Drosophila melanogaster: one gene and its partners. The protein of the gene in region 3 interacts with the protein of the main gene of each other region in a pairwise test. Each region holds a gene or a part of one and is shown on either strand. Other genes may lie near its edges.

The links.
Region 1: the proteins of Mal-A1 (region 3) and slam interact in a two-hybrid assay, tested with the Drosophila melanogaster proteins (one large-scale study listed by BioGRID).
Region 2: the proteins of Mal-A1 (region 3) and CG9014 interact in a two-hybrid assay, tested with the Drosophila melanogaster proteins (one large-scale study listed by BioGRID).

Annotation. Positions count from the first base shown.
Region 1 is NT_033779.5:6,367,930-6,380,563, forward strand, and holds slam (slow as molasses), read left to right. Parts: upstream 1-4,458; 5' UTR 4,459-4,652; intron 4,653-5,366; 5' UTR 5,367-5,647; coding exon 5,648-7,378; intron 7,379-7,444; coding exon 7,445-9,235; 3' UTR 9,236-9,355; downstream 9,356-12,634. Other genes in the region: Nepl4 (Neprilysin-like 4), read left to right, coding at 212-2,170; DIP-epsilon (Dpr-interacting protein epsilon), read right to left, coding at 10,911-11,098, 11,181-11,351.
Region 2 is NT_033779.5:13,719,061-13,728,264, forward strand, and holds CG9014 (uncharacterized protein), read right to left. Parts: upstream 4,583-9,204; 5' UTR 4,472-4,582; intron 4,425-4,471; exon of another isoform or gene 4,416-4,424; 5' UTR 4,378-4,415; coding exon 4,009-4,377; intron 3,951-4,008; coding exon 3,333-3,950; 3' UTR 3,101-3,332; downstream 1-3,100.
Region 3 is NT_033778.4:8,445,866-8,455,625, forward strand, and holds Mal-A1 (maltase A1), read right to left. Parts: upstream 6,040-9,760; 5' UTR 6,020-6,039; coding exon 4,690-6,019; intron 4,337-4,689; coding exon 4,141-4,336; intron 4,079-4,140; coding exon 3,871-4,078; 3' UTR 3,799-3,870; downstream 1-3,798. Other genes in the region: Cyp4e2 (cytochrome P450 4e2), read left to right, coding at 1-18, 77-446, 507-681, 742-1,157; Cyp4e1 (cytochrome P450 4e1), read left to right, coding at 1,638-1,797, 2,068-2,177, 2,238-2,587, 2,662-3,031, 3,097-3,271, 3,326-3,756; Mal-A2 (maltase A2), read left to right, coding at 7,784-9,285, 9,347-9,475, 9,535-9,607.

The DNA of each region.
Region 1 (12,634 bases), on a different chromosome or scaffold from region 3:
ATCGATAAATCGGATTCGGAATCGGAATCGCCAAACTCGTCGGGTTAAAATACAATCAGCAGCTTTACTTTGAAATGATCGTATCTAAGCACCTGAGAAAAGAACTTTTTAAAGTGCCGCAGTACAGGTGCAGCTTATGAATCTCGCCGAAGTGAAATAAACGTGCGGAAAGATCAGCTATTCCTTTGCCCGATAGTAAATCCAAGAAGCAATGGTGCAAAATCTGTGGACTGCCCTCCTTCTGCTGGGCAGTGCCACCTGCGGTTCGAGTGTGCCGGTCAAGGCAAATGATCCGGAACAGAGTTGTCCGTACCTCGGAGAGTGCAATTCCACGATCAATCAGCAGCACATCGATACGCTGATGTCCTACGTGGACAGCGAAAAAAATCCCTGCGAGGATTTCTATGCCTACGCCTGCGGAAAATGGCGGGCGAAGCATGGAAGCCACACAACCGCCACGATGATCAGCGAATCGCAAATTAACCGCCAGTACGAGGATTTGTTCCTACAACTGCTGAGGAATCCCAGCGCCCCGGAATATGGATACCCCATGTTCGCCAAGGTGTTGGCCCATTACCAGTCATGCATCGCGCTGGAGAAGCCGGATCTGAGGCGATACATCGAGCTACTGGACCGGGATCTGCTCGCCTCCTTAAACTCCACACACTGGATGCACCTGCTGGCAGCTCTGGGGCGCTACGGCTACCACGGTCACTACGTCCAAGTAGAGGTACGTTGGTACAACGCCACCCATCACATGATCTTCCTGCTGCCGCACAATCGCCACCTAAACCTGAGTCTCACGCAAGACATCTATGATGCGCTGAGTCAGGATGGCTCCTCCTGGCCACCGCTCCACCAGCTACAGGAGCAGTTCAGAAGTTTGGAGCAGAACTTGGTGCGACTGGCTAAGCCCCATTCGGCGGACGATACCTTCCGGAATTACAGTCTGGATCAGATTCGGACGGAGGTGCCGGGTCTGCATTGGGACGAGGCGCTGAGGACACAGCTGGGCAGATCGGTGCCGGGGAATCATGTCTTCCAGGTGGACGACTTGGACGCGATCGAGGGGCTTGTGGAGTACCTCAATACGGTAGATACTCTGCTGCTCAATCGGTACAGCCTGGCAAGATTTCTCAGCCACCTGCTTGAGCTGCCACATAACCCGCTGGCCACTTGGGAGTCCGGACAGCGGTCGCGGGGAAGGAACTGTATTCGTCACATGCGCCGCTCTGTTTACCTGCCGATGAACTACGTCTACGAGAGAAGTTTCTACTCCCGGCGCCGCCACGCGGATGAGCTGGTCATCCACAGCGTCTTCCAGCAGCTGCAGAGTCAGCTGGAGCTGCGGGTCCAGCACAACGCCTTCAATCTAAGTCAGGATCTGGTGAAATCGCTGCAGGCAAAGGTGCACCAGATGCGCATCAATGTGGGCAACCTACCGCCCAATGTGACGGAGCAATTCTATTGGGACAGCGACCGGCGGTGGAGCGTGGGCAGGGACTTCTACGAGAATCACCTGAACAGCCTGCTCTACTACTACACGCTCGTCGCCGATTTGGAAAGCAGCTCGGACCAGGAGGAGCGGGACATCTGGTACAGCTTCAATATGCATACGCCCGAGTTTCCCGACAACATCGATGCCACGCCGTACTTCTACTGCCTGGGCAACATCATCTTCGTGCCGTACTCCTACGTAAAGCGTCCCTTCTTCGATGCCAACTTCTGGCCAGCGCTGCTCTACGGTGATCTGGCCAACACCCTGGGCCACGAGATCATGCACGCCTTCGACACCGATCTGGTGGACTACGATGCGCAGGGTAATCTGCGTAACTTTAGCGACCAGTTGGGCGAAGTGGAGCTCTACAACGGAGCGGTTGGATGCCTGAACAGCAGCGCTGTTATGCTAAACGAGCGCACCTCCGACGTCAGCGGATCCCGGCTGGCCATGCAAACCTACGGTGGCGACTGGCTCACTCGGTCGGGCAACGGGCGTCTGTACTTCCTCCAGTTCGCCCACTTCTTCTGCGGCGACGAGGGCGACCAGTACCATGACTCCGGCAGCCAGCGGCTGAACTACGCCCTCGGCCAGGTGCCGCAGTTCGCAGAGGTGTTCCGGTGCCATGTTGGCTCCGGAATGACCAGCGCGGACCAGTGTCCCTTCTGGTGAGGGATGCCCAGAGACGGTCGGTGACTCCCACTGCTAGTCGGTGTATAGCTTTAATTAGGAACCCAAGTATTGTGAATAAACTTCTATGCTTAGCAATTGCGTATGCGGTTCGCATCTGTCGGGCGGATTTTCCGACACGGACTGAGTTAATTTTCAATTACGTGTGCAACGTGATAGACAAGACATCGGTGAGCAGTAGATGCCCTTCCAGGATGTTCGCTGTCAGGCACTGAAAAAATAGGGGGGTAGGTACTCACACCTACGCAGAGGAAATAAAGAAAATGGGATGCTTCCTTCAGTCGAAATATTTAACAGTGTGAGCGAGAACCTTTTTAAAAGTACAAAATGTTTCGACTCTGTTTGTGCACCTTGAACTTTTGCCGATTTCCTCTGCCGAAGAGCTCACGTGTGCTTTTCCTTGCTTGCCCACGGTGCGTATGTGTTACCCGGCGTGCTTTTATTTATTTGCTAATTAACACCCATCCTGCGCGGAGCAGACGGCAGCCCAGAGGGCGACGACCATCCAGAATCCGACTTAGATTCCAAATCCCGGCCCCAAGTCGGTGGTTGCACTGTGCAACTTGTTGAAGGTCGTCGCGCAAATCGCTCATACGCCGCGTGGGTCTTGAAGGCGCGTGGCAAGCGGTCGGTTTCGCCTGGCAACCGCATTAATGGGCCATTAACAACCTGCCGGGATGATAGCGCGTGAGCCGCGTGTCAAACAGCGGTCAGCCCCAAATCGTGGTTGTTTCCGATGAATGGGCGACCGTACGTTTGTCTTTGCCCCACAAATGGACTAGAAACGGGAAACTTGAATTGATTCTGCGATAAAGAACGTATGCCTCGAGACACTCGAGCTACTCATGTGAAATGGGGTGTGGGGCTCAGTCATCTAAATCAATATTCTGCGGTTCCAATTTGGTATGTTTCAGATTATTTTCTAGTTTCTTGTGAGTCAGCAAAATGTAAAGGATAAACACATCTTTAGCAGTCTGAATTCCAGAGCTCATCCAACGCGGCTACATTATGCTGAGTGTGGGCTATTGCGATATGGCCAGCAGTTCCTCTTTCCGTCGAACGGCTTATCAGTGCTGAATTTCATTCATTCATGTAATTCAAAGCGGCTGTGCATTATATTTGGGCTGGCTTATAATTAGTTTTAAAATAAACCGCTTGGCCAGCGGAACGCGGAAAGCCGAGTGACGCAATCGGAGCAGCGAATTGCGAATGGTGTGGTGTTAGTCGGAAGCCAGCAACAAACTCGCTGCTTCTGATCGCCACGGCGGTGCTCCACTCGGCTCGGCTGAGGTTCGTTCCTTGACCCCCGGATTCCGGCGGTCTTGCCCGCCACTCGGGGTTCCATGTCACGTGCGCTCGCTCGGCGGAGTAAGTATGTATGTATGTATGTGGGTCTGTGCGGAATTGATTGATTTGCCAGCGAAGGTGGCGCACTGGAAGACAGACAGACAGACAGACTGACAGACGGACGGACGGACTGATAGGGCTGATGAAATTACAAGTCGCGCATCGTCATTCAGACCGATTGTGGGCATGTTATGCGAGTAAACGGATTTTGCGGCAATGAAATAATTGCCAACATTACAGAACTGGTAGTGTCTAATTAACCCGCACTGATAAAGCGGGGTACATGCCGCCGCTCAGATTTTCAAAATTGCATGGCCCTGCATTGAGTGCCCAAAATCTGAAACCAAATATTCGCGTTCCGGTGTCGCCGACAGAAGCGGTGGCTACTTAGCAAGTGGAACCACTGCGTCCCCGTCCATTCCAGTTGGATATGGAACGCCAGCCACATGAGTTTATCATAAAGCACCCACTAAATTTTTGCCGCTGCTGTTGGCGACCACAATGTTTGTAAATGTTTTTCACCGTCGAATGGTATTTCGGGGATTGCTTTGTTTGTCATTTGGGGTATTTGCCAACTGACCAACTACTGTCCATCTGAATGATTTTGGTGTGCCTCTTTTGGCTTAAATAGCAATATATTCAGATACCAATAAAGGCACGTCTGATAGAATTCAGGCCACGGGAGCAATCCGTTTGAATTTATCGTATCATTGAGTTGTAAGCCGTTTTGGCCGTTAATAGCCATCGAATTCTCATATCTTCACTGGTCTGCCTAGAATATAAGTTATTGACATTCTAATCATTTTCTTGAGCCCATGATGATATTTAAAGTCTAGATTAGTTTACGGTTTAAAAAGCACTGAGCTTTGATGCTGATTCAATCAGCTGATTCTTAATTCGTGGTGATTGGCTTTATTATCAGCTGTGATATTCCGTAAAGCCGGCAAATGAGCCCTTAGATCGATGTAAATGTACTATGTTATTTGGCGCAAATAACCACGCTTTTTCGCGGTCTTTTGTTTACAAAATTAATTTGTAATTTGTTTATGAAGTTGTGCGTGTTAAATACTGTGTTGCCTAAAGTAGATCATAGTTCAACAAGGAAATCCTTAACAAAGTAAGTTAACTAATTTATATAAATAGCCGGCCTGTTTTAGAAAGCCCAAAAAAGGGTTAGAGAACGCTTTTGTCTTGAAAATTTGGAATATTTGGAAAGTATACCCTTCCCATGTAAACAACTTCAGCTTTGTGATAAAAAAATAGGCACTCCGTTTTGCTAAAAGTAAAAAAGCGCATTAAAACCAAAAATTAAAGATAAAATCGTTAAATATCAGGCAGTTAAAAGATGTATCCCATTATGGAACTTATCATTGTAGCTCTGTAACTCATCAGCTCCAGCTCTGCCACCTGAGCATCCGCAAATCTCAGCCCCTGATTTCATTTTATGGCTCTGTCGGTGTGAAAGTCACTTTGTGGCAAACTGCAAGCAAAGTTCTGCTTATCCCTGGGGTCCTGAATTCGGTTCGTTTTCGCTCCAAATTTCAGCAATAGTCAGATGAAGAATTTTCAGTGTGTGATTTTTATTGTGGCTGCAATTCGCCTGGGTCTTGTTAACATTCGCATTTTTCTCGGAAAATTCGTTCGGTTGCAGTATAATGATGATGCTGGGAGTTGATTTCGCTGAGTTACTGCAATAATTGGAATTTAAATTTTAAGGACTTTCCGTCAGCTGTCTTTCGAGTGAATCCTCGGTTATCCCTTCTTTCCAGAACCTTACATTTTACATCTATTGCACAGCCCTAATATTACCTACCTGTTTTCTTTGTTTCAGGTCACCTGGATATATATTTATAGCGGAAAGGTTCGCGAAAATAATTAAATATCGGTTAGCGCGAGGAAAATCCATCGATCCGACAGCTGCGGCTGTTAATCTTACCTGATCGCTGCTAGTTGGATTAAGGAAAATCTGAGGCAGTGGGTGGGCAATAAAATCTGCACCCAATCCATATTTTACCTGATCATTGTATATAAGCTATTAGCAAAATGCCAGAAAGCCACAGTTACAAACTGAAACGTCTAACGTCAACAACAAGACAGCAAACTAATACCAAAATGGTCCTAAGCAATTCCACGCCGAACAACCAGTCCAAGCACAACCAGATGGTAGTGGACACGGCAGCCATGAACAGTGATGATCTCAGCGAGCTACTGCAGCTGAACGCGGAGATCGAGGAACGTCGTCGCTCCAGCCGCCACGGAGATGCCAGCACCGCCTGTGGCCTGCTCCGAGCTACGATGACCAGGGAGGAACTCTTCGAGATTTCCTCGCTGGATGATGATCGCTTCCTGACCGCCCTGGAGTACCAAAACTCGTTTGCATCACCGCGCCGAGTGCAGGTTACCGACCTGGACTTGTCCAGCATCGAGAATCTGATGAAGTACTTCGACGAAGAGGTACCTGTGACGCCAACAAAGACACTGGGTACCACCAAGGCAGCGGGTAACACGGGTAAAGTGGCCAGCACAATTGCCAAGTTGGCCCTCCAGTCGGATCCGGTCACGCCGCCCAAGCCAAAAGTGGGTAGTGGCCACCTAAAGATCAGCGAGCTCAAGCAGAAATACGAACAGCTGCCGGAGATGGAGACGCCACGCTCTGCATATCAGGCTTCCAGAAAGGTATCCGCGTCGCTGCCCATGAAGGTCAAGGAGATGGCCCAGCTGTTTAACTCCAAGATCAGCCAGGTGATGCGACGTACAGAGGAACCACAGTATGTTCAGCTGCAAAATGAGATGTCGCCGGAGGTTAAGGCACAGAACCGCCTGGTGTCGCCATTAGAGTCCCCAGTTCAAGGACCCTGCCTGGTGGCCGAGGAAGTTTTCCGCGAGTTGAGCGTGAAGGACAAAGCCCTGCTGTTCAACAAGTTCATCGGTGACATGGCAGCCAAGCACCCCAAGTTCACTGCACATGCCGCAGATCTCAAGGAGAAGGTAAACAAACAGGTGGCACGAGGGGAGGTGGTGGCTGAACGACAAGCCAGTGTTAAGCATCTCGCCCAGGAGTTGGAAGCGAAATGTATCCTGGAGCCGGGATCGCCACCGCGACCAGGTGGTGTCTCTCCCCCCAAGACGACTGAGAGCAAAACGGAGACATGCACCTCCCAGCTGCATGTGAGCACCCTGACTGTGATCCTCAAGCCAAGTCCAGAGCGCAGAGCTCCACAGCCACGACCCCGCCGATGCCTGGATCGTCAGAGCGATGAACATGCCCGAGAGCCATCCCAGAAGCGAAACCTCGCCGCGATTCGCACCATGATGCCAACGGAGGCCTATGCGCCACCAAAGAAAATCCGACGCACTCGACAGGAGCGCACCGGTGCGGATAGCCAAATGTTTTTTCAGAACGAACACCTCGAAACCCTGTTCTACAGCTGGCTCAGCTCGGAGAACGGTGTCCAGTTCGACATTACGAGTGTGTCTGACGGTCAGCAGACCATTGAGATAGCCACCGAGGAGGGTAATCTTCTGGAGCAACCGCTACTTGAGCCGAGCACCGCTACTCTGGAGGATGTGAGCCAAAAGTCCGCCGTCGAGCGGCTTCTGGAGGAGGCCATCGCAAAATTAGAGCTAGATAACGAGTCCAAGAAGGAGACACAAGTCGAGGAAAAGAAGGAGATGGATACAGCTCAGGATCCCATCGTTCAAGTCACTCCGCGACGCATTAAGCGCCAGGCGCCGCCAGTGCCAGCCCCACGACCCAGTCTAAGTCAAGTTACCTCCAGTGCATCCAGCTGCAAGCAATCCGAGGCTGAGGAAAGTGAATCCGGGTTGTCTACACTCCCCAAGGTAAGTGATATCTTTAATAAGTGGATTCATGAATGTTGACTCATTGTTCTTAATTTTCTATCACAGATAACCAGCGACGAATCCCAGCCAGAGACGCCCAAGGATGACTTGCAGACAGGTGAATTTGATTTTGCCAAGCCCCAGCGTCCGCCACGCAAGAAGAAAATGCGCCGAACTCTTACATGGAAAAAGGAGAACTCCATTGTCGAGGCCACTGCAATAACCTCAACGGACTCCGATTCAGATTACAAGCCTCCGCTATCAGGAGCGGCCAAGAAGAAGTCCGGTGCTATCTGTAACCCACTTCCAATGCCCGAGCCAAGTTTCATTGAGTTGGATAAGTCACTGATGCGCCACTTGAACTCGCCCCGGAAGATCAAGTCGGCATACACCCTCACCGTGATGTCATCTCCCTCGCCGAATGCAGACAGCGATCAGTCTCCTAGTCAGACACCAAGGCAATCCCTGGTACAGGCCATGCGGGACAGTTTCGTGGATCAGGGCTTTGAGACATGCTCGAACGATCCGATGGACAACAGTCCGATACGCCGATCTTCGCTTGGAGCCACGGAATCGAAGCCATCCGGTTTTTCCACGCCAGTTAAGGGACGCCATGCTTCCAGTCCGGCGCAACAACAACTGTTCAGTCCGATTCTCATCCAGGAGCGCCCTCGTCGCAGTTCCCTGGCCATGCAAGTGATCCGGGAGGATCATCCGCTCGATCTGGACGCCACCTCCAGCTCACCCTCCACACCGTGCAGTGAGCGGGAGTTCTTCGCCAATGCCCCGACTGTTGAAATTGATAACTCCCAGGATGAGAGTCCGACCGGCAAGGCGCACTCAATGTTCTGGATCACCTCTGGGGACTTCACAGTCTCCCTGGAAATCTTCAAGAACAGCCCGGAGCGCCTGCGACTGCTGTACGAAATCTTCACCCAGAAAAGCTGGGAGACTCGTGACCTGGCCTTCGGAATCGACGGACACAAGTTCATTCGCGGAGCTCCCAGTTCCGACTCCGTCCGACAGTCGCTGCCCGAGCGTCCACCCAGTGTGAAGGGCTGCTCTCACTATTGGTTCGCCAGCGGAGATCTCGCAGTGCCCTTCAGCGGAAAACTGATGTCCAGCGAGAAGATCGAGCGGCTGTTTGCCTTCCTCAGCGGAGAGCAGTCGGAGTTGCGCTTCGGCGTTGACCACATTGAGTTCAGCAGCGTGCCTGAGTTCTGGCCCACCACCCAGAAGTATTCCATCGAGAGCAGCTACAGCATACTGGTGGGTCTGCAGACAGGTGCCAGCAATGGCCTGGAGGGTCGCAGCAAGTACTCCTGGCCCAACAGCAGCATCAGTGCCAACCAGGCGATCAAGACCAGCGACCTGGATCAGACGGAGTTCGAGTCCGATAGCTTCGGCAACAACAGTGGTAGGCTGTCCTTTTCGCCTGATCTCTTCTCCCTGGACTACGAGGCGGTTCCCCTGGACGAGCTGTTTGCCAAGGCTCCTCCCTCTGCCGCCACACCCGCCATGTCCGTGCCGCAAATGATGCAGACCCTCAAGCAGCAGCAGTCCAAACTTCGCAGTGTGGAGCAGCGCATTCGTGGCTACGCCAAGCCCGCGAATCTGGCCGACTCTTCGCTGGAGCACTGCCGCAACACGCCGCAATATGTCCACAAGCTGCGCTCCATCATCCGGGCCATTGACAACATTGGACGCGACGATGGCTTCCGCGGCTGCTCGATGGAGCAGCTCGAGAGCTTCATGTACTTCCTCAGCGAGTATGCGGATGTGTGCCTGGCCAACTGCAGCGAGCACATGGACAAGATTCTCGACACCCTGATGGACCGGAGGGCCGTGGAGGTCTGAGCGATGGTGCTACCTCATCGGGATCTGACTTTATTTTAAGATTTTATAAACAATTAGTTCCTAGACATTAACATATAATGTTACAAAGATTTTAGATAATAAACTTTAAAGAGAAAAGTTAAAGCCATTCAGTGTATTTCCTTGGGCATGCAGAGTCCAACAAAATCAGGGGTTCTGGAGGGCATAGCTCCTTGCTATCCTGCAGACACGTAGGAGTCTGGCAAGCATCACGTTTCCTGCAAGCACATGGTTTCTTTTTCTTGCTCTCATCAAGCAAATGCTCCTGTTGCATCAACTTCAGACATTCCTGGCCAAGGATACCATGTTAGTGCACATCCAGTGGCCAAGGGAATCCGTTTGGGGCCAAAAGGAGTTGCTGGGTTCGGTTCAATAACAATTTCACGTGCAAAAGTGCTGCGCAAACATGGTATCAGAGAAAAGTACTAACTATTAATGCAATAAATGGTTACTTGTTCAACATAAAATAAAAGTCCCGTCGACATTCTTTTGACTTTCAAATAAAAAATAATAGTTATATTTTTGCACAAGTACCACTGGTCAATATCAAGAACCACAGATTACTGAAATAAAAGTCGCTTAAGTTTTAAGAAGCAATCCCAAATACATAGATATTTTATTTGTTTCTTTCGCAGTGCCAGTTTGTTCCGCTCGGGGAGCAAGTTAATAAATATACATTATCACTCTTATCGTTAAGAAACACAAACTAAGGCCTATGATATATGTAGGTATTTAAATATATATATATATATGTATTTCTGTATGAGTAGTTTAGAACTTACATATTTGGATTTGGCTTTATTTGGATTATTTCTCAACTGTAAACCCGTCTTAACTGATCAGCTAACTAAATTATGTATCAACAGTTTTCGCTTCAATCGTGAATATTCGTAATTCATATTTGCTTAGTTACTTATTTAGGTTAATGGTTTTTGATTAATGCATTTTAGGTGCCTGTTTTTCAGAGTATTTAAGCCTTTCGCTTTCCCGTTAAATATCTAGTTTTGAAATGGTTTGATGCCTACTCTCGTACAAATGAACATTCATTTCTAGTGCCTATAACGAGTACATAATTTACAATTGCATTTGGGGTTTTATCCATGCATATACGCGCTTATTTACAGTTGGAGGTGAGTGAGTAGTGCTCTCTTTTTAACAATTTGGCATCATTCGAAGGGTATACTATTTTTTCCCACTTGTATTTATGCAAATTAATTGATTTTATATCTAACTAACCAGGATTTATGTGCTTTGGTTTGCATCGCATGTTTGCTTTGGCCCTGCCGAAATGCTTTTTACAACATTCTTCGCATACCCTCACCGATGGTATAGTGGTTTTAAAACCAAACGAATTTTTAGAAAATATTTTAGAGTGCTTCCGAACGAATGGTAAACAAATATGCGAGGTTGATTAATTTGGTAACTTTGTTTGCCTAAAAACACGCTGTGGTTTTCGCCACCAAACGTAATCAAATATTAATGGGCTGCATAGGGAGTTTCGGGGAAAACCAAAGCTTGACTTCGTTAACGTTTGCAAATTGCAATTCGCTTAATTAATTACACAGTTGTTATGGCTAATCGTATGCATCGGCTTCGAACACCTTTCATTTCGACTGTTTGTAATGGCACTTTATTAAAATGGAATCGCACATAGTTCTCAACCACACGAGTGTGTCGTCAGCAGTGCGAGGATGCAGCAGATGAGGGGCCAACTGGACGCCATTAGGTTGCCATGACTCCCGCTGCTCTTGCCCTTGGACCAATCGAATCCCTTGGGACTGCTGCCCGTCAGCTTCTGCTTCGACTTGTCGATCTCGTTCAGATTCGATAGGTATTTAATGCTCGCTGCAATTGATAATGAAAAGTGCAACGTGTTCATTTGTTCTGCCAACATCAACATCCTATGCATTTTTTGGGCACTACTCACATTTGCCGGACGCAATCACCGAATTTGTGGGTCCTTCGCCCACAATGCCAATGCCATTGCCATTCAGGGGCGTGTTGATGTAGCCGTCCAGTGCGATTTCCGCCGCGGTTGTTGTCGTCCGCCGCAGCGTTGTGGTTGTGGGCGGCGGTTGTGTTGTCGGCGGACTCGACACTACACGTAGAGAAATATTGGCGTACATGAGTGGTAGAAATAATTCAATAAATAGAAGCTATCGCAAAGTGGAACTTTAAAGGAAGTGTAACGCTACATGTCAGAAATGAATCCTTTTTCTTTTATACATTTTTTTTGCATTATTTTATCTACTTTCTGTCAGTGTAGTAATTAAAATAAGGGGTAAGAGCGTGATGTCTGCGCCAAAAAACGGTACCGAACAAAAGTGGATTGCTCAATCGGAAACAATCCATAAACAACTTAAATTAACTGTGAGTTATAAGCCAGTCCTGCCCCAAAAATGTGCGCCCCATCAGTGCCGAAACTCCTTTGCTCGATTTCTAAACAGATATTTTCGGTTACCCAGCCGCATTGTCTTCACTTATCAGCCATCGTAAATTCAGTGCAATCCCTTTTGCCCGCCCTTCCCCCCCGATTCTTTTCAATTTCTTGGCCATCTCCCCGGGGAGGATTAACAACTCTCGGTTCCTTTTCTCGGCTGGCTGCCCTCCGTTGGCATTATTGAAGACAATTTGTAGAGGAAATTTATTGGGCTTGACACTTGGCCTTGCCTCGGCTGGGAATCACGAAACTATAGCCCACTCCAATGCCTGGTTGATGTCGCCTTTCTGCGACTGTATCGCCTCCTGACCACTCAATAAAATTGTCACAGGTTCATTGTTCTCATTGTCGGAGCTGCCCCTTCTATTATCGATGCGGCCATTGTTACCTTTAATTGGTAGAATGACGCCCACTTTTCGATGGGCTACACAGGCCATTGTTGTGGCAGCAGAATGAAAACCGTGTATATATAAATTAAGTTGTCTTTTCACATTCGCCATTCTTGGTGGCGTTGGGCTCTTGTCACCACCTCACAACCTCACCACCAACAAGCGGGCATTTTATTTTGTTTTATGAACTTTTGTAATCGGAATCGCTGCTGCCGAGCTGAGCTTTAATGGCCCAAACAGTGACTGGGGAGTAATTTAGCAAATTGACACAATATTGACACTTTATTGACACTACAGTGGCTCTAATTGCCGGTTGTGAGGATTGCGCATACGCCCCGTTGACGGCGGCAAGGATATGAAGAAAAACGTCGGTGAGACAAATTAAACGCGTCATTTCCTTATTAAATATCAAAATCTAATCTTGCTGTATATTAAAAAGTATTTGGGCACCAAAAATCCTGATAAAATGAACAGTACAATCTGCTTCCTTTGGAATCAAGGAACTGTCGGAGTTTCAAGTTTAAAGACCCCCCAAAATACTGGCGCCCATTT
Region 2 (9,204 bases), on a different chromosome or scaffold from region 3:
AAAAGCGATATCCACAGCCAAGTTCTTAGACTTATTATTATTATTACTGGCATGGGGAATGAAAAGACGTACCTAAATGATTAAAATAAGATATTCAGGTACGAAAAAAAAAAGCCCATGTTCAATTGTATATGTAACTAACAAATCTTACACCTTTCCACCCAAGAAACTCTTCAACTCGAATAAAAATATTCTTTTTCGCCGTTAATCAAATAAATGAGTACTTAATAAATATCATTACATTTTTATTACATTCTCGCCGCAAAGAAAATAAAATTGATGTTGGTCCATGGAAAGATACATAAATTTAATAAATCGTTTAGCAGTTTTTGGACAGTTCAGGTGATATATACAAGTGGATCTAGACTGGTTGGGTATTCCGTTTCTTTAGAAGGAATAAACCTCGTTATATATTTCTATTTATATTCTTGACATTTAAAAACATTTAAAGCTGTTCTTAATAAAAACATATACTTAAGAAAAGTTCAGAAAAGTCATTTACACTAGTTTTTCGTACACACAATGGTTGCTAATCCCGACCAACTCCCTGTGAATCGATCATGCGGCGCTATTGAAACCTTTGCCAATCTCCGCTAATCAAAGCTACCCTATATTGCCTCCCACAAGGACAAATCAATTCGTGCAGGCAACAGCGTCCTGGGAAAGAAAAATCCCACCAAATGGCGTTTCCATTGCTATTTTCTGGGCTCCAACTGGCGAGTTATGGCCGCTATTTCCGTTCGGTTTTCACAACTCAACGCGCCGACTTGTTCGCTTTTCCTTTTGCACCTCTAGGTGGTCCAAAGTCCAAGGACTGGGCCAAATCGGTTAGCACAGCTTCCAGCGGATTTCAATTTTATCGCCGCCAATTTACTGCCGCCGTACTGTGTTTTGCGTTTTGCCGCTGTTTTTGTGTTGGGCTGGCCCATTCACATTTTTAGCCTTGGCAAAGAAGGCCGTCGCTGTTGCACATTTTTCTCGCCACATTTTCCTTTGTGCTGCCCTCGGTGATTTACCTTTGGATGATTAGTACTGTGCTATCGAGCTTTACTACCACTGATATGGCAGCGATTTACAACATTCGGCCTATACAAATTTCAGTTCTTCGAGGGGTCTGAAATACAGATATAAAATATTGAGAGTCCTCTAACGAAACATGTTATAAACATATACATTTGCAATAGAGTTAATAGTAATATTTATCTTAAGTAATGCTGATGCCGTAAATAGTAATCATACTACAAATTAAGGGACTTTTCAAGATTTAAGAGTTCTTCCCATATATTTACTTCGATAATGAGGTCTCAAGCATATGCTAAAAATAATACGTTGCAACTACAAAAGCTCTTATATAAAGGAAAAGTTAGTGCTGAAGATGTGTAGAAATGGTGACATCTATTGCTCTCCATGCTTCTGATAAGCGTTTACAGTGGAATCAAAGCTAAAGGAGCAGATTCGCTTTAAAAAGTATTGATTCGTACAAAATATGTCGAAATATTTATGGTAATTAAATAAACAAAGCAAAAGATATGTATATATAATTCGAAAAGCGAGCTATGCTTTACAAATAAATTAACATGCCTAATTGCTGAACGTATTTTTACCTGTGGATGATTGACCCAAAATCTTTACAAAATATTTACAACATTTTAGTATCATAGAAATGAATAAAAAACCGCTTTTTAAAAATATTTATTTTATTTACTAGCTTGGGATGCCCAAATTTGATAATGAACAATTTGGGCCCACTGTAGCTACCAGCCGAGTGCAGCAAATGCATAAATTAAACTGAGTTGAGCTTGAAGTTTGGCCAACTACAAGTGCGTATGCGTATGCGAGTGTGTGTGTGTGTCGGCGCGGGTGTTGGTGTTAGTGTGCGAGCGTGCATGTGGACCATTATCGATACCGAAGGACATTATCGCCATACATGCACCAGCAGACAAAAAGGGGCAAGTTTGGCGGGGGACGAGGGCATGGGCATGGGCATGCATAAAACATGTTTTGGTCGGTTGGCTGCAAATTGAATCAATAATATCCAATCATGGGTTAACAATGCGAATTGATTTCTAGCAGCCATGCAGGAGAACCACCTTCCATTTCAGACTCGGAGCACCATCACCATCGCCACTGGATTTCAGGAGCGGGGAGGAACCAGGAAGAGCGACGACTGCACATATGCAAACATGACAAGATAAGGCCACAACATCAGCTTTCACTGAGCCTTTAGCTTACTTCCTCTGGCGAAGGAGGACCCATGTAAATATTAATTAAGTTTTGGCTTTTGTTGCATTAGGCTTCGGTTTTTGCAGCAAGCCCTGAGGCAGCCAGTTAAAGGGCTCCCAGGTGCCGGCATCTATCATTGTATTAGCTGCAGCATTCGGTGGTTAGTTCGTTAGTTGTCCTTTGTACTGCGTCGTCGTCTTGGCTTAATCAAGTTAGCCGTACATGGCCTTTGTGTGTACCGGACCATTTAATTAGTTCAAAGAGTCGTGTTTGATTTGACACTAATTCGGTGTATACTTCATTCAATGGACAATATTTGCCCAAATGTGAGCTCATCGCATCGAAGTAAGCTGCTTGCAGTCCATTAATTTTCATTTGATCAGAGATCTCGTTTTCAATTGCAGGCTAAAATCGTAATGGTCCCGAAAATTTATCTCAGCTGGGAAATTAAATTTTGTACAATTTGTAAAACTTTTCCAAATGGTGTCGCCAACTGCCGCGAACCGAGCACAGCCAAACTTTTACCATTTCCATTATAAGTTTTACTTGATGCACCCACCGCAAGCCCAACCAACCGCCCACCCACAGAAGGAGCAACCTCAATCCCAGCTTATGCGTTTATTTAATTTCGCTCCAACATTACGCATACGCCCGAGTGTTCACTGAGCTTCTATAATTGCCGCGTAATTGCCGAGAAGAATATCTGTCAGCTACAACGACAACTTTAAACTGTGAGTGTTGCTGCACTGAACCAATCGATGAGGGAAGTTTAACAAAACCTTAAAAATTTCAAAATTACATACGTTTCATAAAAACTCTTCGATAGTATTGGGAGCCCTCAGATTATTCATAAGGTCCGACATTAAAAAATAACACGACCATTTGTTTGTTTTCTATTTACGTAACTCGAATTGATAAAACATATTTATATTTTTCATTTTGACGACTTTTGAAGTACGATCGTGTAATTTAAGACAGTGAAGCAACATGACCATCATTCCAAAACAAAGGACGTGGAAAACGGGCAGCCAGTTGCGCTTTTGTGTTGTGTTACCAAAATGAATTTAGATGTGGAGGATACAAGCAGGATGTGGTGACCCATCATTGGCTTAAATAATCTCTTCGCCAAATATTACCTCATTCACACCGTCGACGAAGATCATGACCAGTCCGAGGATGGGGCGCAGATTCTCCGGCATGTGGGTGTTTTCGCCGCCCAGAACAACCACGCACGGTTTGCCAATGACCAGACCGGGCACCAATCGGGTGACATACCGACTCATGAGATGTTGGTTCTCGCGGCGATCGTCCAACGTCATCAGACCTTCGGGCCAGCGATCCTCGTGGCAACGTTCAACCAGCATATTGAGCATATGCATCGGACAGCCGCTTTCACGCAAAACGTCGCGCACCATCAGGTGCATGGGATTGTCCGGCGTGGAGATCAGACTGCCCCACGTATGGATGTTGGCCAGAGGGAGTCCATGGCCCCACTGCATCAGTGAGAAGCGGTCCAGTTGTTCGCCAATGTTGCGCAGCATGGGATTGGTCGATCGCAGTGCTGCGATATAGTACTGGAACAGCTCCATCTCTCGGCGCTGGCTGGAGCTCTGCTCCTCCATATCGGATTGCTTCTGCTTCAGATCGGAAACCTCCTTCGCCAGTTTCTCCACCAGCTCGCGCAGTTCGAACACACAGTTGTGGCGCGACATCTCGTCCTTGGGTACCTTTAGCGGGAATATTATAGCTATCTTAAGCAGTTCAAGTTATTCCCAGAATGTTCACCTTCATTCCGCACCCCTTGCTGCACTCGACAACCACCTTGGGATTATGCTCGCAGGCGGCGACATGGGTCCGGAACTCCTCGAGGGCCAGCATTTGGGCACAACCGCTTTGCGAGAAGGTGCACTTGATCTTTAGGCGGGATAGCATGTTGCGCATTAGGCGCGAAACGGGCACCAGATGTGAGGTCAGTAGCCCGGAGCGGTCCACCGGGCAAATCTGTTTCTGGATCATCCACTTGTCGATGCAGGCGCGACAGAAGGCGTGCTCGCATTCCGATGACTGGACCGGCTCCTCCAGGACATCTGTGCAAATTGGACAGATGAGCTCCTCGTCAACGTGGCCCACAATGCAGTTTAGATCAAAGCCCATGACGAAATGGTTTGATTTCTATACCGAAGTTTATGTCGCTGGAGAATCTGAGATGTTATTTTTTTTTGGCATGGAGCCACTCTCATCCACTTACCACTGAGTTCGATATGTACTTATACCTATATCCGAAACTCGATTTTTACAATATTTCGATCAAAAAGTTAGTTTTTACGTCGGCGCTGAGTTGTGTCCGAGCTGGCATCTGATTAAAAGCCAACTATGTGTATAGTTATGCATAGTTATATAAATAGTATATATAGTTTATTTTTGTAAATAAAAATCCTTTTCTTAAGCTAAGAAATACTAGGCCTTTCGATCATCTGTTATGCAAACAGCTCTCATTGAGCCTTCTACCATTTAGGACACTTCAATTTCAATTCAAGCGCAACTGAAACCAGCCAAACAACCAACAGAACACTGGGAGTCATCCATCCAAGTGGGCCAAGAGCAAGTGGGGTGGGGGCGAATGGGTCTGAGAAAACGTTTTCTTGAGGCACTTGCATATAGTGCGGTCGTAAAACCCTTTGCATATTTATAGTCCCAACTGCTGCGGAAGTTATGCAAATTGGAAAACTTATGGTACGACAACCCGGAATAATGCCAAACGTCCAGCCAACCTTCGGCGACCACGTTTTAACTTAGCCTGCACAGAGAAGCGATGCGAAGCGAAGCGAGGAGTTGAATTTTATTTATAAAGTGAAATTTTAACAAATTAACAGCAAATGCTGGGACATGGGCAAACAAATAAACTTTCCATCTTCAGCTCCACAATGGCCGAATTTCGAACAAACACTCATCAGACGACACACAGGCATGATTGTGACAACATATTGCCATGTCAAAATATTTACACTATATCAACTGCTCTATGCAAACTCGAATGTATATACATACGTGTGTATAATAGAATGGGCATTGTGTGACTGGAAATTCGGTTTTTAATTTCACTTGGAAGCGTCATTCGCTTGGATATTAAATTTCATGTTTTGCCTAAGAATGACATTTGCTTTTGTGTGCCTTTTTGTGCATTTTGTTTGTGACAACTTTACTGCATCGAATCCTTTTCGTTGGATTGCAATTTCAGTCTAGTGCTACCAAATGCTTATCTCCGAATGCAACTGTCAGTCTGACATTTTAGTTTACTTTAAATTCCTGCTCAAGCCTTTTCAGTTTGCCATAATATTCAAGACTCATTCTTTCATTTCGTTTTTATCTTGAAAAACAGTAATCGAAATGCTTGAATTGATGAGTTGAATAAATCACAATTGATATGCGATTCCCCACTCCGGCTGGTGTGAAATATTCTTTAATAAATCGCATTTTGTGCAAAATAATTAAGTCCGTGTGGGGTGTGGTGTTCGTTTTATCAATCCATTGGCTTTGCGACGTTCAATAGCAATATTTCACATTTCTGAGCTGATGGAGCGCATTAGAAAATAATCAACAATTTTCATTTGACTTGGCTCCGATAAAACCCATCATCCAGCAAACACAAAACGAACCACTCAAGCAGGAAAATTTAATAAGTTTGTACGTAAGCATATACACAGCTCGCCACAAAAATGTTTTTCCAACTGATCTGACCGCATTTGTGAAAATCAGCATTGATGATTCGAAGGCTCCTAGAGGATGCACACACTCTGATGAAAGATTTGGATAATAGCTTATGATGTTTTATATATTATAGAAGTGCCTTTTTTTTTGTTAATAAAATATATATGTACATTTGAGTGCTGTTTTTTTTAAGTGCAAGAAGATCATGTTTGGTTTTTCCGAGTGTATTTATGTACGAAACCCAACTAATAAGGTTAGCAACGTGTAAACAGTCATTACGTGAGTGGCTCTGTGTTAGCATGTAACGAGCCACAAATGCTTGCCACACAATGTTTATTTGCATTTATATTTGCTGTTCTTGCGCCGTTGTCATTTCATTGCAACATCAGTACGTGCCTCATTGTCCCCAAGTCCTTAGCATCCTGATGCCACATTCCCTCTACTCTGCAGATAGATAATCATTAATGACGGACTCGAAGTAGCATTCTGCTCACATGTTTCCCGCTTCGCCTTAAGTTCCAAAATTGTTGATTGGCAGTGTAATTATGTTCTAAACATATTTACCTTATTCTTGAAGTATAATTTATTGGATGAGTTAGGTTATATGAATTGTAAGTAGGTAAATCAATTATACTAATCACTAAAGATGGGGCGTTGAGAAGAGGTGAAGCTGCAAAGCGGCTTAAATATACGTTATCCACTGAAGAATTTTGATAAATTTTCACCTCTACACTAGCAGTCATGTTAACCCTGACTCCCTGACTTCTTGCCCTGGACATTAGGATCCATTTCTGGAGCAACAAGCAAATTGCCATCCGTGTTTCGACCGCCGAAAGATACAAAAAATTACCATGAATTACCGTAATTCAGCTCGTGGTGCCCCAAAGCCATGTCCATTACATGGAAATGGGACATGTCACAGGACATCGTCGCCGGCAGGACAACCCAAGTGCGTTGCTTCAAATCTCCTGGTCCTTCTATGGTCAAGCGGTCACGTTCGCATCGTATGACCGGAACGTGCAATTTTTCCTGCTGGACGAAGGAGGTGGCGGATTTTCCGGGGGAGGAGGAAGCGCAATAAGCACAAGTTTTATGCAATAAAATTAGCCCACACTCAGCACGCGCAGGACACGCAGGATGCTTCAGTGGCTGATAAGATAATTTTATTTGGATGTTATTGCATAAAGTCATGTGAGGAGCGGAAATGAGTGGAACTAAAGTAAAGCGACTACGTGCACCGGAATTCCGGATGAGATGGGGTAGAAACTTGGCTGGGCAAATTAATAACGTAGTTTGAAAATGGTTGGGTGAAAGCAAAGGGAAAAGTGAATAAATAAGTTTCTTTTTAATTTAACTAAACAGAGTTTTGTACGGCATGTGTTGAAATTTATTGTAATAGTTATAGTAATGCAGAAATGTAGATAAATATCTAAATATAATCTATATCTCCCCCACTGGACTTTCGTTTCTTTCGCACTCTTACCTAAATCTCATTGCCATCATCATTATTCCAGGCCCAAGGAATTAGGGCACAAATTAGGCAAAAAAGCCGAAAACATCGTGGACTTGGCTCTGACTTCATTGCTCGCTCAAGCGTTACTAAATCGCTTATACAAGCCTGCCAATGGCAATGGCCTTTTCACTTGTGAAGAACTTCATAGAGCCCAACTTATAAACATTATATTTACAATTAAATGTAAATTAAAGAGCTAGAATAAAGGACATTGCTTATTACTAAAGAAGTCCTTTAAGGCTTGCTTGCTACCTTAATAGCATTAATGCCTTCTCGGTCTTGACATTTTTAATATAATTATTCACATATTCGTTTGGAAATATACTTTTAAATCATTTAAAAAATGTATGTAAATTTTTGAACTGTTAATAATATAAAAATATAATAATTAGGCCATTAAAATATCCTATGAAAATATTTATAAATAATTTTACAATGATTTTATACACAAAAGAGCATCTAAGCCACAATCATAATGCTTCAAAATGTTGGCTGCGAACGTTTTGCCGGAATTTAACAACTGACCGCACACACAAAAATATTTTTTTGCCACACCCGAGGCGACAACAAAAATGCGGAACGATGGAGCCCGTGGAGCACCAACCACAACATGGGGCACGTTGGCGGAGAGAGGAAACGATGGCGAAGGCGAGGTAAAGGCCTCGAGTGCCGCAAGAGCACTTAATACTAATTAGCTTTGCGCCTACGCCGTGACCTACGACCTGGGCGCTGGAACGGCATTTCCGGAAACGGAAACGAGTCTGGGGAGCAGATAGAGGGCATTGGCAATCTGTGGCGCGCTTAAGTGGCCGCCGCACGCAGGAACACGGTAATATTTGGAGGCTTTTGGGGCGTGGAGGCGGGTTAACAGCTTGAGGGCGTCATTTTTATGAGCTAATTAAGTTGTTAGACTTGATGAAAAACTCATTTCGTCGCAGGTCCATATCTAATTTGCATTAATTACGACCTGGCGACAACAAAATGCAAGAAATGCGAACCAAATTATTGGGGTTATTTTTACGGCACAAATCAAACCAGTTTTAGCCAGGAAACATTCCTACTTGAAAACTAACCATATAATTGGCTGGCAATTTGCGTTTATTGGCAAGTGCAGAAATAAATAATGACAATTGAAACGAGCAACTTTCTGACCGGATTCCTACTTCGGACTTTTGCGTGCAACACTTGCAACAATTCGAGTCACTTTTGCCCGCACTGCGAAGCTCAAATTTGCACATAGTTTATAATTTTCTTAACAACTTTGCTGCATTCAGCCAATTGAAATGAGAGTACACAACTTTTTAATGGCCAACGGCTCGAGGAACTTGGCCAACACACTTTCCAGTTGGCCTGGCCAAAAAACTTTTCGAATTATTGGCGAATGGCTAAGCGCTTTCTGTGGGTGAACTGTCCTGGAATGTCTGCGACATTATTTCGCAGCCCTTTTCAGTCAAGGTCACTGCAATCAGACTTCCGAATTAATCGGAAAAGTTTTCGGCTCAACCAAAAAACTTGAAGCCCAATAAATATTAAGTGGTCAAAGTCTTAAAAGTTTCATGAAACACGAAATATACAACAAAACATTCTATGCAGCTAAGTGCAATCATGTTGTTTTAAGCCTTTATTTATATTTTAACTACCACATTTAAAATGTCCATGAAATCAGTGGTATTTATTATTTTCGAAACCAGTGCCACAATCCATTTAATGGACTTCTAAACCTCAATGGCCCACTCTATTAAAACACAGCCATTCCAAAT
Region 3 (9,760 bases):
TGTGCAGGCCTTCAAAGAGTTAGTTTCGTACCTCGTAGTCGAACTATCAGATTGCATGACTCTTGATCCTTTTCAGCATGTGCTACAACATCAACATGAGAGCCTTCCACCCGCTGAAGCGCAATGAACTGCTGTATCGTTTGGCTCCGGACTACCCGGCCTATAGCAGGACTCTAAAAACACTGCAGGACTTTACCAACGAGATCATCGCTAAGCGCATTGAAGCCCACAAATCGGGTGCAGTTTCGACCAACGCGGGAGATGAGTTCACTCGCAAGAAAATGGCCTTTTTAGACACTCTGCTGTCCTCCACTATTGATGGTCGTCCCCTGAACTCCAAGGAACTGTACGAAGAGGTCTCCACATTTATGTTTGAAGGACATGATACTACCACTTCTGGAGTGTCGTTCGCTGTCTATTTGCTTTCTAGACATCAAGATGAACAGGTTCAGTACATTGCTTGAGACGCCAAATCTTTAAATGACTAACTTCCCTTGCTATTATAGCGCAAACTATTTAAGGAGCAACGCGAAGTAATGGGTAATTCCGAACTGGGTCGCGATGCCACCTTCCAGGAAATATCCCAAATGAAGTACTTGGATCTCTTTATCAAGGAGGCCCAGCGTGTTTATCCCAGCGTGCCTTTCATTGGACGATTTACGGAGAAAGACTATGTTATAGGTAACCATTAATTAAAGCAATTTAAAGAGCTTTACATAACAGTACCATACTTGCTTATAGATGGGGATCTCGTACCCAAGGGCACCACACTGAACCTGGGTCTCGTGATGCTGGGTTATAACGAAAAGGTGTTCAAAGATCCCCACAAGTTCCGACCTGAGCGCTTTGAGCTGGAGAAACCAGGACCTTTTGAGTATGTACCCTTCAGCGCTGGACCCCGAAACTGCATTGGTCAGAAGTTCGCCCTGCTGGAGATTAAGACTGTGGTATCCAAGATCATTAGGAACTTCGAGGTGCTTCCTGCTCTGGATGAGCTCGTCTCTAAGGATGGCTATATAAGCACCACTATTGGACTCCCTGATGCCGAGAGGAAGAAGCGCGATCCATACCGTCACAAATACGACCCTATTCTTTCCGCTGTGCTGACCCTGAAATCCGAAAATGGTCTATACATTCGGCTGAAGGAAAGGCACTAAAATGTCAATTTATTGATCTCTGTTAAGTTTGGTGCTTTAATTTTGCATACCTGTGTTTTTTTAGGTATGCCGTCCCCACAGATACAATTATTAGGAAGCTGTTAATCACTTTGTCTCATACAACACATAAAACTTTTGAAACAAATCAACTCGTTTTAATCTTTGAACCATTGAGACTATGTTAATTAGCTTAAAAAATTTGAAATTATAGTTTCCACACGTGTAAGCCATTTTCAAGAGAAATGTTCATCAAGAAACTTAGTCGCAGCATATAGAAGGTCATGCTGAGTGCCCATATATTAGTTTAAAATTTGGGAGATAGTCATAGGCTGCTTCTTATGTGTGGATGTATATCCAAGCGCGAGAGACTGAGAACTGTCTGCCGCAACCGGTTGAAGTACTGACGCAGAGAGTCTTGAGGTTTCTACTCAAATCCGATTTACTCGCTGCACCGATCGGTTGTCTGTGGTCGCATTCAAAATGTGGATCGTACTGTGCGCTTTTCTTGCCCTTCCACTGTTCTTGGTGACCTATTTCGAGCTTGGACTACTGCGGCGAAAGCGAATGCTGAACAAATTCCAAGGCCCAAGTATGCTGCCTTTGGTGGGCAATGCTCATCAGATGGGAAACACTCCCACAGGTAGGTGCTCCATCTAGACAATCTCAATGTGTGGGATCAAAGTCCCCTCTAGATAACATCGCTCGATAGGTGTGACTGATCACATAACAGTTGTGTACGAATGATAACACTGAGACTAAATATACTAAAGGTCACTGCAGTACCGATCAATGGGATTAACTTAACAAATCTTCGTCAGGGAATTCATCCGTCGTTTTTTGCTGTATTAAAGACTATGGCTTCTATCTAATTGTAGAGCAAGTAATGATATGTTTTAACTTTGCTCTCCAGAGATTTTGAACCGGTTTTTTGGCTGGTGGCATGAGTACGGCAAGGATAACTTTCGTTATTGGATAGGTTACTACTCCAATATTATGGTCACTAATCCCAAATACATGGAGGTGAGTGTGACATGTTAATAACGCTAAGGCGAGGATGGTAACAATGCAGCTTTTGCGCAGTTTATACTTAGCAGTCAAACTCTGATATCCAAGTCCGATGTATATGATCTTACTCACCCATGGCTGGGATTGGGCCTCCTCACCAGTACTGGCAGCAAATGGCACAAACACCGGAAGATGATAACCCCAGCCTTCCACTTCAACATCCTGCAGGACTTTCACGAGGTCATGAACGAGAACTCCACCAAGTTCATAGATCAGCTGAAGAAGGTGGCAGACGGAGGCAACATCTTCGATTTCCAGGAAGAGGCACATTATTTGACTCTGGACGTCATTTGCGATACAGCTATGGGTGTGTCCATCAATGCCATGGAAAACCGAAGTTCCTCCGTTGTGCAAGCCTTTAAAGAGTATGTATTATGGGATATTCCATAATATATACAAATCTTCCTAAAGATTTACATAAATTTTTTTTCACTTGTAGTATTACCTACACCATTAAGATGAGAGCTTTCAGTCCGTGGAAGCGCAACAAATACCTCTTTCACTTTGCTCCTGAATATCCAGAATATAGTAAAACACTGAAAACCCTGCAGGACTTTACCAATGAGATAATAGCGAAGAGAATCGAAGTCCGAAAATCAGGGCTTGAAGTCGGCATTAAGGCTGACGAGTTCTCCCGCAAGAAAATGGCATTTTTGGACACTCTGCTGTCATCCAAAGTGGATGGACGTCCTCTGACTTCCCAAGAGCTTTACGAGGAAGTTTCCACCTTTATGTTTGAAGGGCATGACACTACTACATCTGGTGTAGGTTTTGCAGTCTACTTACTTTCTCGACATCCAGATGAACAGGTAACCGATTTGAAGAACTAGTTTTGACGAAGCGAATTTAATAATATATTACTTTCTGTTTGCAGGAAAAATTATTTAACGAGCAGTGCGATGTGATGGGCGCTTCTGGACTTGGTCGAGATGCCACGTTTCAGGAGATATCCACAATGAAACATTTGGATTTGTTTATAAAGGAGGCGCAACGTCTTTATCCGAGTGTCCCTTTCATTGGTCGCTTTACTGAGAAGGACTACGTAATTGGTGAATCTTCGAAACAAATTTAGGCGTTATCAGTAATCAGGATTATGTTTTTAGATGGTGACATTGTGCCGAAGGGGACTACCTTGAACTTGGGCCTTCTTATGTTGGGATACAATGACCGTGTTTTTAAGGATCCTCACAAATTCCAGCCCGAACGCTTCGACCGTGAGAAACCAGGGCCGTTTGAGTACGTGCCCTTTAGTGCTGGTCCCCGAAATTGCATTGGTCAGAAGTTTGCACTGCTGGAGATCAAGACTGTGGTGTCCAAAATCATTCGAAATTTCGAGGTGCTGCCAGCTCTGGATGAGCTCGTTTCCAAGGATGGCTATATAAGCACAACTCTAGGTCTTCAGCCGGCAGAGAAGAAGAGCCGTGATGCTCACAACCATAAGTATGATCCAATTTTGTCGGCATCCATGACTCTGAAGTCCGAAAATGGTCTACATCTACGCATGAAGCAGAGGCTTGTATGCGATAGTACATGAATAAACACTTGCATGCTTATGGGCTACGACTTTGCAAACTTTGATAAGTACATGTATAATTCACATTTTATTTATCAGCGCTACTTTATTGTCACTTATTTGAATAAAATTAGCTTAGACAGCCACTAGGACGGTGCCCACATAGGGATTGGCAACGAACTCCGTAGATTTGATAACATCGCCATCGATGTACTGGGAGCTCAAGGACGTGGTAATGACCTCCGCCTGGGTGCCCAGTTCGTAATACTTGGTCAGGTCCAAGGTCTTGGAGGTGCTACCCAGGTTGAGAACGATTACATAGAGATCGCTTCCGGTCTTTTGTCTATTCGAGAGACAAACGTTTAGTAATCGAAGCTTAAAGATCTTAAAGATTGATAGACTTGCCGTGAATAGATGATCACATCGTCGTCGATTGCCTGAATGTTGAGTTCTCCCTGGCGAAAAGATGGCTCCTTGCGCACGCGCACCAGTTTCTTGAAGATCTGCAGGTGGGAACGTGGAGCTCGCAGCTGCTGCAGGGCGTTGTTGGTTTTGTAGTCATCAGCCACTGGTAACCAGGTGTGATCGGCACTGGTGAAGCCTGAAAGTGGTATATATAAATGGAATATCAATAAGAACCGCAATGTCAGTGCTACATAAGTAAAACTTAGATTAGTACAATAGAAGTATCACAAATGTTTTTCTTATCAGAACATATAAAGCTTCTTATCACACTGCAACGTCAATATATAAAATGTATTTGATTAGCTATTATATTCAAACGGCTATCATTCGTCATGTCTTTTAAAAATGTTAGCATTTGTATTCCAATAGAATGTCAGATGGCCCTTCAGTGAGGTGAGATTTCGGAGTCTTTGTAACGCACTTAACCAAATGTTTTAGTTCAGTGTAGATTGTTCATACTAAGCAGAGTAAATATAGATAAGTTCATACCTGCTTTGGAGGAGGCATCCCACTGGTAGGGAGATCGGGCAGGATCCCTGGATCGGGCGTAGTAGTTGTCGGGATCGGAGTTGCACGCATTCGGATCAACGGTGTCCTCCCAGCTGATCCAGACGTCGGTCATGCCCAGCTCCTCTCCATTGTAGGTGACCGCGTGGCCGGGCAGAGTCTGCAGCAGGATGTTGATAAGGTCGGTGCGCTGGACACCAAATCGGGAGGCTACTCGCTTGTTGTCGTGGTTGCCCAGCACCCAATTGGCATAAACGCCCTCGGGCATGGCGTCCATCCACTTCTTAATATGTTCTACGTACTCTCCGGCCTTAGAGGCGTTGTTGATGCTCGTAAGGAAGTCAAAGTTGAAGGGAATGTGGGAGCCATTCCTGACTCCATTTCCATAGTAAGTCATGATGTTTTCAAAGCTGGTGTACGCCTCCGTCATCAGCAGCCTCTTATCTCCGCCGTTCTCCACATGAAACTCATCCACCAACTCACGCCACTGGTACACCATGTCAATTGTTTCCGGCATGTCCTGTGTATAGATGTGCTGCGTGTAGCAGTGGTCATCGGGGTCGGGACAGTTCACGGAGTCGTTGGTCAGAGGCTCGTCCGGATACTGGTTGTAGCGATCGAGATCCACCTCAAACAAGTAGGGAACTGCATCTATACGGAATCCGGATACTCCCTTTCCCAGCCAGAAGCGAATAACGTTCTTCATCTCGTTAACCACGGCCGGATTGCGATAGTTGAGGTCGGCCTGCTGGATGGCGAACTGGTGGAGGTAGTACTGCTGACGCACCTCGTTCCACTCCCAGGCGCTGTAGCGAAACTCAGAGTTCCAGTTGCTCGGCGGCTCCCGCTCACCGGTCTCGTTGTTGATCTTGCCATCGTGCCAGATGTAGAAGTCTTTGTAGACGGGGTCACTGTCCACAGACTTGGTGAACCATTCGTTTTCGGTACTTGAGTGGTTTGGTACGAAGTCCAGGATGATTTTAATGCCCACCTCCTTGGCCTTGGCGATCATTCGCTCAAAGTCCTCCATGGTTCCATATTCGGGATGGATCTGGTAGAAGTCCGATATGTCGTAACCAAAGTCGACCATGGGCGACTTGAATATGGGCGACAGCCATGTGCCCGTGAAGCCGATGTCTTTCAGGTACTGCAGCTTTTCAGTGACCCCGTTCAGGTCGCCAATGCCGTCTCCGTCGGAATCCCGGAAGGAGCGCGGGTAGATCTGGTAGTAGTTTCCACTCTCCCACCACTCGGTGGCTCCCACGAAGCCAACGATGGCCAGTAATAGACACGCAGCTGATTGCGGGCGCATTTTGATCGATTTTGTTCGGGCTGGAGAGCTGACAGTGCCTTTTATACTAGTCGATAAGGTGGCTCCAATCGAGATCTGGCCATTTTGAGTGGCCATTTGAATTGCTGTGCAAACAGCTCCCATGAGTTCTCAGGGTGCTCGAGTCGAACCGAAACTGTCATTGTTTTCGTACTCCCAGCGAAGCTTTACGTAAAGCGATTAGCCCACTCCCGAATGTCTTCTGATTGCTGGAAAAATACCGATTTTTGCGACAAATATCATCCGGAATTATTTGTATACCCGTTACCGGTAAGTGTAAGCAGGTATACAGGTTCGGCGAAAATAAGGTATAATATCGGAATTATGGGAAATAAGAGAGCCAAACAGTTGAGAATACGGCTTTTGCTTCTAGAAAAGCAAACACATCTAGAGATAGTTCCAAAAGATTGCCACACGCTATACATTTAAACTAAATATGAAGTGAATTAAATTTTACATTCTGCTGCTGGGTTCCACTCTGAGACCGAAGGTTTTCTGTTTGCAATTTGAGTAATGGGTAACATATAGCGCAGCACCTGTCTTTTCTGTTCCTCCTTGTTTTTGTTATGGTAGGCCTTTCAAGTGGACATTAGTCACCTGATAATAGCGCAGACAAATCCTACTCCTTCAACTACAAGCAAACAAGCAACAAGCTGGAAAACCATGATTAATTAACACTTAACAATGCTGTGGAAATGTTTAAAAGATAACCTTGTGGAAGTTTTGGGGGCATTTTAATCGCGTGACAATACATAATCATCGTTGCAATACGGCCTAAACTGTTGTCAGTATCAGCGTAGGTCGACATTCATATGATAAGCGTTTTCGAGGAAAATATTTCCTGCGTTTATCTAACTCTATAAAAATGTCATATTTTACTCGCAGTAACTTGTACAGTACAGTAACTTGTAAAGTCCACTTAAGATTGTCCGTCCGCCTGTCTGTCAATTACAATAAATGCATCCTTCATCAGGTTGCGTTAGTGTAGTAAACTACCTTAAAAGGTAACTCAAAATATACATGTATTTGTTAGCTATATTGATTGTATGAAACCACAGATGGTTTAGATAGTACCCGTACCTCAAAAAGCTTATCATGAAAAATACAAAAACATCCTTTGAATTGTGGCTAGAGTGGTATCAAGAATTCTACATGCAATTTATGATTTCATCTTTTGTGAACTCTGGAGCATATTGAGGTGGAATTGTAAAGGTAAAGCCTAAATGGTGACCTAATTAGTATTATAAATCTAAACATTTTTTGTTGTCGAGAAAAAAGCATATGGTATATCAAAAGTATTTTGGCCGTGCACGCATTATTGCCCATTTATTATCTGTCTTGCTCAAATACACTGAAATATGTTTGTAGTAATTTTTATAAATTGTAAAATATATTATATTCTATAAATTCTATATTATATTTGTAATTAAACCCGTTACCCTACGAATATAAATACTAAAAGATATTGATGCAGCTTGTGATTCTCAGGCCAGTCATCAATTTATAACTTTAACAAACGTACTTTATTGCACTTTTACGACATTTCGCGGTCTAATGGAATGCCCAACAAAAAAGAGAGCATTCGAGAGCGGGAAAGACCAGTCCACTGTTATTTAATCTAGCAAATATGCGATAAAACTGATAGATTACCAGTTGGCCGGTGCAATTGTGCCTTATCGACTGCTCAATCGCTACATGGCAATTGGTATTAGCAAATTGAGTTTGGCCCACTCAAACGCTATCGAAATGCCAAAGTGGGCACATCTCGGGCTAGCAGCTCTCCTTCTAATTTCCACCACCCAGGAGGGTACTGCAGATATCGATTGGTGGGAGAACGCCTCGCTGTACCAGATATATCCGCGCTCCTTCCAGGACAGCGATGGCGATGGCATCGGGGACCTGAAAGGCATTACTTCGAGATTGGGCTACCTCAAGGAAATAGGCATCACGGCCACCTGGCTGTCGCCCATTTTTACCTCGCCCATGTCGGATTTCGGCTACGACATCTCTAACTTTTATGACATCGATCCGATTTTCGGCACTCTCGAGGATTTCGATGACCTTATAGTGGAGGCCAAGTCGCTGGGCGTTAAGATCATTCTCGACTTTGTACCCAACCACTCGAGTGACGAGAACGTGTGGTTTGAAAAGTCCGTGAATCGCGAAGATGGCTACGACGACTTCTACGTGTGGGACGATGGAAAACTGAATGAGGAAACTGGTGCAAGAGATCCTCCATCTAATTGGGTCAGTGTGTTCAGCGGACCCATGTGGACGTGGAACGAGAAGCGCCAGCAGTACTTCCTGCACCAGTTTCAGGTGAAGCAGCCGGATCTAAACTTTACCAATCCAATGGTCAGGGAGCACATGCTGGATGTCTTGAAGTTTTGGCTGGACCGCGGAGTTGATGGATTTCGTATCGATGCAGTTCCACACATCTACGAGCACCGCAATGCAGACGGATCCTATCCGGATGAACCGGTTAGCGGTTGGGGCAGTGACCCCAACGCCTACGACTACCATGATCACATCTACACCAAGGACCAGCCGGCCACGGTGGATCTCATGTACGAATGGCGTGAGTTTTTGGACAACTATCGGGCGCAGAATGGAGGCGATTCACGGGTTCTCCTGGCCGAGGCCTATTCTTCCGTGGAGACACTAAGTGCTTACTTCGGAAACAGCACCCATCAGGGTACCCAGCTGCCCATGAACTTCCAGTTGATGTATCTCAGTGGATACTCCACCGCCAAGGATGTTGTGGGATCTATCGACTACTGGATGAATACCATGTGGAAGGAGCACCAGACGGCCAATTGGGTTGTTGGTAATCACGATACCAACCGAGTGGCCGATCGTATGGGAGCTCACAAAGTGGATCTACTAAATGTGATTGTAAACGCCCTGCCAGGTGCTTCGGTAACCTACTACGGCGAGGAAATTGGCATGTCCAACGTGGACGTGGAGTGCACCGGCGACTCTTGCGAGGATCGCGATGGGGAGCGCACGCCCATGCAGTGGACGGCTGGAAAGAATGCCGACTTCTCTGATGGGGAGTCCACCTGGCTGCCTCTAAGTCCCGAATATCAACGGTACAATGTGCAGACTGAACGCGGTGTTTCCAGATCTTCCCTGAACATCTTTAAGGGTCTTCAAGAACTTAAGAGCAGTTCCGCCTTTCTTGCGTTCAAAGAGGATGGAGGTTTCTCCTACGAGGCGGTGACGGAACAGGTTCTACAGATCATTCGGTACGTGAAGCAAATCCTCTTCTAATCCTCTTGCTGATCCTAATATCCTGATATCCTACAGCACAAACAAGATCAGCGAGGAGTATCGAATCCTGGTCAACATGGGCAACGGTATGGAAATCCTCGATGGGCTCGCCCCCAAAACCTACGAGTATGTGCTGGCCACTGCCTACTCCACACACTATTCGGGGTAGGTTTTCTCTACTTTCTTGATTTCTATACTTTTAACTAACTTAAAACGATTTACAGGCAAAAAGCAGATCTGTCACAGAGAATCATTCTCATGCCCTACGAAGCAGTCGTTCTACGCTGGTTGGCTTAACTTCTTGTACTTATTTTGTTGTATCAAGAATTACTTCTTTAGTTCGTGTTAATCAGTACGAATGCCACTGGGGTCCCTAATAAAGATAGGCCCTGTTTCGACATATGTTTTCCCAGAAATATATTAAACCGAACTTTGAATGCCAATTACCAC